Linked DNA regions of Mus musculus: region 1 is reported to be linked to region 2. Evidence: microRNA targets listed by miRTarBase, many of them from high-throughput screens and not tested one by one. Region 2 holds a microRNA gene; the other region holds the end of a gene's coding sequence.

Region 1 (4,000 bases), not on the chromosome of region 2:
TAGCTATCAAGACTACCCTGAACCTTAGTGGAGTTGCAAGGCCCCTTGCTCCCCACTGTTGATATATGTAGCAAGGACTGAGGAGGAAACAGACTCTCCCACCTGGTGAGCTGTCAGCAAGTCACTCAGAGAGTCCCAGGGCTGCAGCTTTGATGAGTTGTCACGTGCATTAGAGTGTTCTTTCAGTTATGAAGCTTGTGTAAGTAAGCCCTCACTCATATTTCTGTAAGTAACGACACTAAACTCAGTCATAGCACTAATTTGTTCTGTTGTCAGTTCCTATCTGGAGTAAGCACACATTTATCCGTTGTTCTGTGTATGTGCATTAGTCTCTAACACAACATGGTAGCTTTACATTTATCCGTTGTTCTGTGTATGTGCATTAGTCTCTAACACAACATGGTAGCTTTGGCTATTGTCTACTCTGACCCCTTGAGACTATTCTACTTTACTCTGTAATAAATTCTATGTTCTATATTAACAAGAAAAGAAAGAAAGGGAAAGAAAGTATTGGAAATTAAACCCACCCTGCAGATAATTCAGTACAGGAGTAACTAACCTTCCTTGGTTCTTTCAAAACCTGGACTTATAAATGTTTTACTTACACGGAGTAAATTAGTAAGATAAAGCAAACTATGTATCTTTCATTTATGCCCTTGGAGCTTGACTAGATGTAAGGGAGCTAGCTCAAATTACTCATATGCTCAGAGTTCCAGTTTTGGGCTCTGAATGGTCTTAGCTGCAGTTGGTATCGCATGGTCCTCTCTAGAGTTTTATTAACGTGAATTCCTCCAGGTGAGTGCCCCAAGACAGAGTCAGCATGAAAGAGGGACCCCAGTGGAAGGTGAAGTCTACAATAACCTGAGTTTTTAGAACAATATGCTATAACTTATTCAGCATGCTCTTGGTCACATATATCTATGAGGGAGAGACTACACATATTCGGGTATTGACACCAAGGGTCAGCAGTCATTGGAGCAACTGTGGAAACTGATTTCTGCTCTGGTCCTGGTCCCGTTGTTCTGTGTATGTGCATATATGCTTAGTCTCCAGATGCGGTGTCCCATCTAGAGTATTGTGAGAAAAAAAAAAAAAGATGGGAGATGTAATAAACTTGTTGGTACCCAAAGTGTAGCAGTAGCTTATTGGGAAGTCTGGACATATGCACTGTCACAGAGCAGAGGAGCTGAGATTACATTGATCCATTTGATTTCCTTAGCTGGTCAGGCAGACATCTAATGGGAAACTTATTTTACTTCTATGTTTTAGTGGTTATTCAGTCAAAATTTGTTGTCTGAATCTGGCCTAAGAATAAATCTAATTTCTTCTTTAGAAAGGGCTAAATGATACAAAATGATGACTTAGTATCATGATAAAATGTTCTCAGTTTTATTGAAAGCAGATACCATTTCTTCACACAGGTGAGTTTTCTTCTTTCAAAAGCCTATTTCATTGTACTGTTTCATCAGAGTTAAGTTGGCTCAGTGAGACAGACAATCATGGATGGAGACGGACACAAAGTTAGCACCACAAATCTATACTGCAGATAACCACAACAGACTTTCCAGTGTTTACAAGCATTCTTACATACCCACACATTATTTACAGCTAATAAATAAATTGAAAGCTAAAGCATCATTGACATATGTATGCATGGATGTGTATATACTGTAATGAATTAGCAATAATGGGGATGCCGGTGACAAATTATACATATTTTTATTGTTAGAATTGACTCCAAACTTGATGAAATCGGTCACCTTTGTCCTATATTACATAGGCACAACCAGCTTTCTCCTAGCAAGGGCTAACATTCCAGCATATCTGGAACTACTTCTCTAACATATTCCAGTATATCCCTTGACTCTTTCCTTTCTGAATCACATTGAATGACGACTACACTTGTGGGGCTTTGCATGTGGGTTGGTGTTCAGATACCCACAAATTTCACAGTTTCTGCTCCCAGCTATAGCCTCTGAGATAGATCTTCTTTATCATTTTACATTAATGAATAATAAAAGCAATCTGAAAATGTGAGATCTCGTTCATAAATAATTCTTCATTATTGATTTTTGTTGTTGTTGTTGTTAAGGTAAAACAAAACAGCGGCAACAATCCTGGTACTTTCTATAGCTATTACAGTTGAGGGCTCTTCTCTTTGCACAGCAGTTTACAAGCATCCATATGCACATTTTCTAGTAATTTCAACTTTTATGTGATAAAAAAAAATGGTCCTGCTCTAAAACTTGTACTTTGCACAGTGCAGAATTTGAACTTGATCACATCTAAACTAGAAATTAATGTGATGTGTTAGAAGTGTGACAGAGGCATGGCGGAGATGAGTCTCAAATGAAATACAAAGTATTGGATATTGGGCATTTCAAATTGATGAAAACAAGTAAGAAAAATCTGATAATAAAATTACAGTTCTCAAGCTCCCAGGACACAGGAAGCTAAGGCAGGATGGTTGAGAGTTCAAGGCCAGCCTGAAATACATAGTTTAGTTCGAGGCCAGACTTGGTTACAGCATGGGACAATTGTGACTTTTTTCAAGAAAGCAAAAAAGAGAAGAAGTAAAATCAACCTAGGCATTTTTGTCTTTCAGCAAAATTTATGTGTCACCTCAATTACAAGCTCATTTTCTTTCTTTCTTTCTTTCTTTCTTTCTTTCTTTCTTTCTTTCTTTCTTTCTTTCTTTCTTTCTTTCTTTCTTTCTTTCTTTCTTTCTTTCTTTCTTTCTTTCTTTCTTTCCTTCCTTCCTTCCTTCCTTCCTTCCTTCCTTCCTTCCTTCCTTCCTTCCTTCCTTCCTTCCTTCCTTCTCCCTCCCTCCCTCCCTCCCTCCCTCCCTCCCTCCCTCCCTCCCTCCCTCCCTCCCTCCCTCCCTCCCTCTTCTTCTTCTCCTTCTTCTTCTTTTTTTTTTCCCAAGACAGGGTTTCTCTGTGTAGCTCTGGACGTCCTGGAACTCACTCTGTAAACCAGGCTGGCCTTGAACTCAGAAATCCTCCTGCCTCTGCCTGCCAAGTGCTGGGATTAAAGGTGAGTGCCACCATTGCCCAGCTTACAAGCTCCAGAGAACAATGTTAAAATATCTGACAAATATTTAAAAGATAGAAGGATTAAGTCATAAAAATTCAAGTCTATTAAGAATTACTCAGTCTAGGTTTTGTATCTCTGTTGACTTGTACTTTGTTGTGGTGGGACCAAGGGTCAGGACTTCATGAGCCATGTCTTCAACTGCTTTTGCCAAGTCACACGTTCCTGGTTACTTTTTTTTTTTTTTTTTTTTTGGTGGGGGGAATATATCCCAATGGTAAAAAAACTAGTTGCAAAGGCCAGGTGTTTCAATCACTAAAGAAATGGACCTGACTTATGCCACAAAAAATATTGTCTATATTAGACTTTGAGAAAACTTTGAAAAGGTCTCAATATAAAACCTCAGAGTTCTTACTAATTTTAGACCATGACCAAATGGGTCACATGATGGAGTCTTATATTGTTGGGAGCAAATGATTCCTTCTTAAGGGATACAAGACAGCATGTTTCTCCTGCCTGCTGTCTTCTAATGCTGGAAGACCTGCTATGGGCCATTAGATTCCTCACCCTGGGTTAGCCACCGTTTAATATTTGAGACTGTCTTCTGTTTAACTAACAAGATAGAGCTGGGATTAATACTCAGGAAAACCCACTTTCAAACACCCAAACAAGGGTATTATTTTTTTAAATTAAATTTACTTTGTTTTCTTCTGTCTTCAAAGAACTCAGATGCTTTCTTCTCTTGTTTGTTTGTCCAGTGTCTGAGGAAATACAGAAGAAAGGCTATTTAATCATCTGCTTTGTCTTCTACAAATCCATTCCCTCCCCAGCACTGTCAGGAGGAAGCAGTGACGTTCCGAACAGAGCTTGTGTGGTGCAGATTATAGATGTGGAAAAGCAGTAGTCTCCTGGGGCAGAAATAGAGAGGCCCCCATCTGAGCATCATCTTCAGAAGACCAGGTCATGT
Region 2 (4,127 bases):
CCGCAAACCTGGTGGTGGGTCCTCGATCTGCGCATGGCACAGCTCCTGTGAATATTGCTGGCTCTAGAACCCCTGCAGGCTTGGCTCCCACAAATCTCTCCAGTTCCAGGATGGCTCCAGCATTGTCTGGTGCAAACCTCACCAGTCCCAGGGTGCCCCTTTCTGCTTATGATCGTGTTAGTGGCAGAACCTCACCTTTAATGCTTGATCGAGCCAGGTCCAGAACACCACCATCTGCCCCAAGCCAGTCTAGAATGACCTCTGAGCGTGAGCGGGCTCCTTCCCCTGCTTCAAGAATGGTTCAGGCTTCTTCGCAATCTCTTCTCCCTCCTGCACAGGATCGGCCTCGGTCCCCTGTGCCATCTGCTTTTTCAGACCAATCTCGTTCAGTTGTCCAGACCACTCCTGTAGCAGGGTCTCAGTCCCTTTCATCCGGGACAGTAGCGAAGTCCACATCCTCTGCTAGTGACCACAATGGCATGCTTTCTGGCCCTGCCCCTGGGATATCCCATGCTGAAGGTGGGGAGCCACCTGCCTCTACTGGGGCCCAGCAGCCTTCTACATTGGCTGCTCTGCAACCAGCTAAGGAACGTCGGAGCTCTTCCTCCTCTTCATCATCATCTAGCTCCTCCTCCTCTTCATCATCTTCATCGTCATCCTCCTCTTCCTCTGGCTCCAGTTCTAGTGATTCAGAGGGTTCCAGCCTTCCAGCTCAACCTGAGGTGGCACTGAAAAGGTGAGGCAATTAAGGGATCTAGGGAGCAGGGACTTAACAATGGGTGGGTGAGTAGGGAGGGAGAAATCTTGTCAAAAGCACTTGGCTTTGAGAAAGTATGGGGGACCTTGGCCTTCAAGCTGGGAGTAGAAAGAATGTTGGGCGGGGGCTTTGTGGGGAGGAATGGGACAGATAAAAGTCTCCAAAGGTTAATTCTCCAGAGGATAATGATAAGTTTTCCATCTCTACAGAGGACAGAACTAGAGGAAATGGACTTAATTTTACAGCAGGAGGGATGGCAGTTAGACCTCAAGAGGAACTCCCTGGGCTGGAAGGATCTTCAGAGGTCATCCCATCCCTCTCCCTGCCTCCAGGCAGGACGGCCCCTCCCCAGCCAACCTGCACTCACAGGGGCCTCCCCAAGCTGCGGCTCTCCAAGGAAGGAGATCACCCAGCTTCAGCTTCCACATCTGAGTCCAGGGGCCTTAATCCTTCATCAGGGACATTCTTGAGGTTTAACCTTGATCCCTTGTGCTTCGGGCCCCAGCCTGTTGCTTGTGTTAGCAGAGGTTTGGTCAGCTCTGTGCCACTGCTCCAGAGAAGTACTACTCACTGGCCTGCCTTCGTGTTTTCCCAGGGCTTTTCTCAGGCACCCCTCCCCCACTGCCGTTCCTCCAGGCCAAGGAAGGTAGGGTTGGGGTTGGGGCATCTTGTCTCCTTGTGACACCTTTCTTCTCTCACAGGGTTCCCAGCCCCACCCCAGTCCCAAAGGAGGCTATTAGAGAGGGACGTCCTCAGGAACCAACCCCGGCCAAAAGGAAGAGGCGCTCTAGCAGCTCCAGTTCCAGCTCCTCCTCCTCCTCCTCTTCCTCTTCTTCCTCTTCCTCCTCCTCCTCATCTTCCTCCTCCTCTTCTTCCTCTTCTTCCTCCTCTTCTTCCTCCTCTTCCTCCTCCCCCTCCCCTGCTAAGCCTGGCCCTCAGGCATTACCCAAACCTGCAAGCCCCAAGAAGCCACCCCCTGGCGAGAGGAGGTGAGTGCTTTCTTGCCTGTTGTGGAAGGGGGGTTGGGGTGAGTTCTCCAGAAAGGGGACCCTGGGTGAGGTTCCTGCTGGGGTGCCTCGTGTGGACGTCTGTGACTGGTTGTACGGGAGAAGGAGTGCCGGACTCCTCCCATCCTCCCACAGTGTTGTATTCTGGTCAAGGGCTGCACTATCTAACTGAGGTGTCCCAGGCCATATCTGGGAAGTCATAGGATTCTTCCTCCCTCTCCCCTCCCCTGACAAGCAGCCTGGTCTCAGAGATCTAGCTCTAAGTCTCCCCATTGCTGCTGCAGGGCTCTGGTCTGGCCACCGTCATCTTCTCCCGACTCTGTCCACAGCCTCCTCCCTGTCTCCCTGCCTCCACGCCATTCTCTTCCACACGTAGCCAGAGGGATCTTTCTAAAACGCACATCTGGTTACTTCCCTTCACTCCACAAATCCTTCCGGAACGCCCTGTGGCCTGCAGGATAAAGTGCCACCTCTGCGGGAATGGCGTGTGAGGCTCTTCACCAGCTGCCCTTGCCCGCCCTGTGCTCCTCCTGCCCGCCCCCACACATGCCCCGTGCTCCGGCCATACCCAGCGCCTTGCAGTCTAAGGAGAGCCCCATGCCTTTGGACATGCTGTTCCTTCTGCCTGGGATTTCCTTGTCTGCCTGGTGAACTCGTTCTGCAAGACTGCATTCAAACAGCACCTCCGAGAAGACTGCCCTGCCATTTCCCTGTCCTGCCCAGGTCCCCATCCTTTCTCTGGATCCCCAGGCCCATGCATATCCATCCTGCTGGGCTGTTTCCTATGTAGGGGGCGTGTGTGCCTTCATTGTTAACCTTTACTACCAAACAAAATTCTTCCAAGGGCAGGGACTCTTTTATCTTTGCATCCCCCGCTGCACCCTGTGCCCTGTCCACTGGGGTACTCGGTGGATGGTGTGCGGGCGGATGGGTGAGTGCGGACAAAGGTGGGTCTGAGGCTGGCCCTGTGTGGTGTGAGGTTTGGTGGTCAGGACCTGGGTGGGTGGTCCTGAATGCTTGGCTGGTGGGTTTGGGAGGATGTGGAGCTATAGAGGCCTACTCTGCTTCCTAGGTCTCGAAGTCCTCGGAAGCCAATAGACTCCCTTCGGGATTCCCGATCCCTCAGTTACTCACCCGTTGAGCGTCGACAGCCCTCGCCCCAACCTTCACCAAGGGATCTACAGAGGTAGGGCCTATAGCAGGTGCTAGCAACCTGACTCAACTAGCTACCATTAATTTGTAAGCAAAATTTAAAAGTTTTTGGTATTGTTCTGTGACCTAATTTCTCCTCTTGTAGCAGTGAGCGAGTTTCCTGGAGAGGCCAGCGAGGGGACAGTCACTCTCCTGGTCACAAGAGGAAGGAGACACCTAGTCCCCGTTCTAATCGTCACCGCTCCTCCAGGTGTGTCTCCTTGGAAGTCTGGCCCTTCTGAGAGCTAGTAGTTAGGGATAGGGATATGTGTGGTGACCCAGAATGACCAGTCTTCTCTATTCCAGGTCTCCATAATCTGGATTCCACTACACCTCATACTCTGGAGACATGAGTATTCCTCATTTTTCCCAGAAGAATCATGGAAGGAGTCTTTGTATGCCTTCCCTTGAACCTTGGCAGCATCTTGAGGGGAGAGCGTCCTCTCCCACCCACCCTTTTTTTTTTTTTTTTTTTTTTTGGTTCCTGTGAAATGTTGATCTCTGTGAGTTTTTCCTGGTTCTTGTGTTTTGGGGGTTGGAGTGGGAGGGAGGGAGTCTAGGGAGGGAGGGGCACAGCTCAGGACATCTAGGCCTCAGATTGTGATGATCCAGGGAGTTAGCTCCCTAAATTCTTGGGTGACTGATGGTTTAACTTGGTAAGTTGTAATCTTTCCTGAAAGAGGAAGGAGCTGAAGTTGGTTGGCCCTGCTGCACCCCCTTACAAGGTTGTGAGGCCCTCTCCCCCCCAACTTTGTTTAAGGCATTTTGGTTTTTTAAAATCTGTACAGTAAAAGCAACTTTTTCTGTCAAATAAAAATGAGAAATGCAGTAATTGGTCTGTAGTCTTTACTTGGGGTTAAGAGTTCTGTGAACAAGAGGGAACAGAAAAGTCAATCAGGTAGACAGCCAAATTTTTTTTATTGGGGAAATGGGTCTCTAGGGGGTAGGCCTAGGCCCTCACTGCACAGCTTGTTCATTGGCACTGCCTCCAGAATCCTGTGGCTTCATCACATCTGGAAGCTCTGGAGGGCTGGAAAAGGGCTCGATGCGGAGAGCTTCGAAGGTGTCATCTGGGGAAGGGGTATAGAAGATTCTCAGCGTTTCCATTCATTGACTTGTATCAACCATCAAGGCCATAACCCTCCCCACCTTGGTTGCCTGACTTGGCAATG

The links. Region 2 holds the annotated microRNA mmu-miR-5125 (UCUGCCUGGGAUUUCCUUGU, at 2,385-2,404, shown strand). A microRNA usually pairs through its seed, bases 2 to 8, with sites in the 3' UTR of a target mRNA and lowers its output. Matches are read on the target gene's strand: a 7mer-m8 pairs with bases 2 to 8, a 7mer-A1 pairs with bases 2 to 7 and ends in A, and an 8mer does both.
Region 1: miRTarBase lists Lpl as a target of mmu-miR-5125. Seed matches in the 3' UTR shown: 7mer-m8 at 3,546-3,552 and 8mer at 3,010-3,017.

Annotation. Positions count from the first base shown.
Region 1 is chr8:68,904,300-68,908,299 of GRCm38, reverse strand. Lpl (lipoprotein lipase) reads right to left here. Exons shown (of 10, transcript NM_008509.2): 10 at 1,368-3,794. The coding sequence ends at 3,794. Among named protein-coding and RNA genes, the nearest start is that of Lpl, 26 kb to the right of the region's middle.
Region 2 is chr17:23,820,955-23,825,081 of GRCm38, forward strand. Mir5125 (microRNA 5125) reads left to right here and starts at 2,337; the gene lies at 2,337-2,415. It overlaps Srrm2 (serine/arginine repetitive matrix 2), which reads left to right. Exons shown (of 15, transcript NM_001368687.1): 11 at 1-736; 12 at 1,459-1,746; 13 at 2,837-2,950; 14 at 3,062-3,166; 15 at 3,262-3,787. The coding sequence ends at 3,271. It overlaps Elob (elongin B), which reads right to left. Exons shown (of 4, transcript NM_026305.2): 4 at 3,786-4,025. The coding sequence ends at 3,913.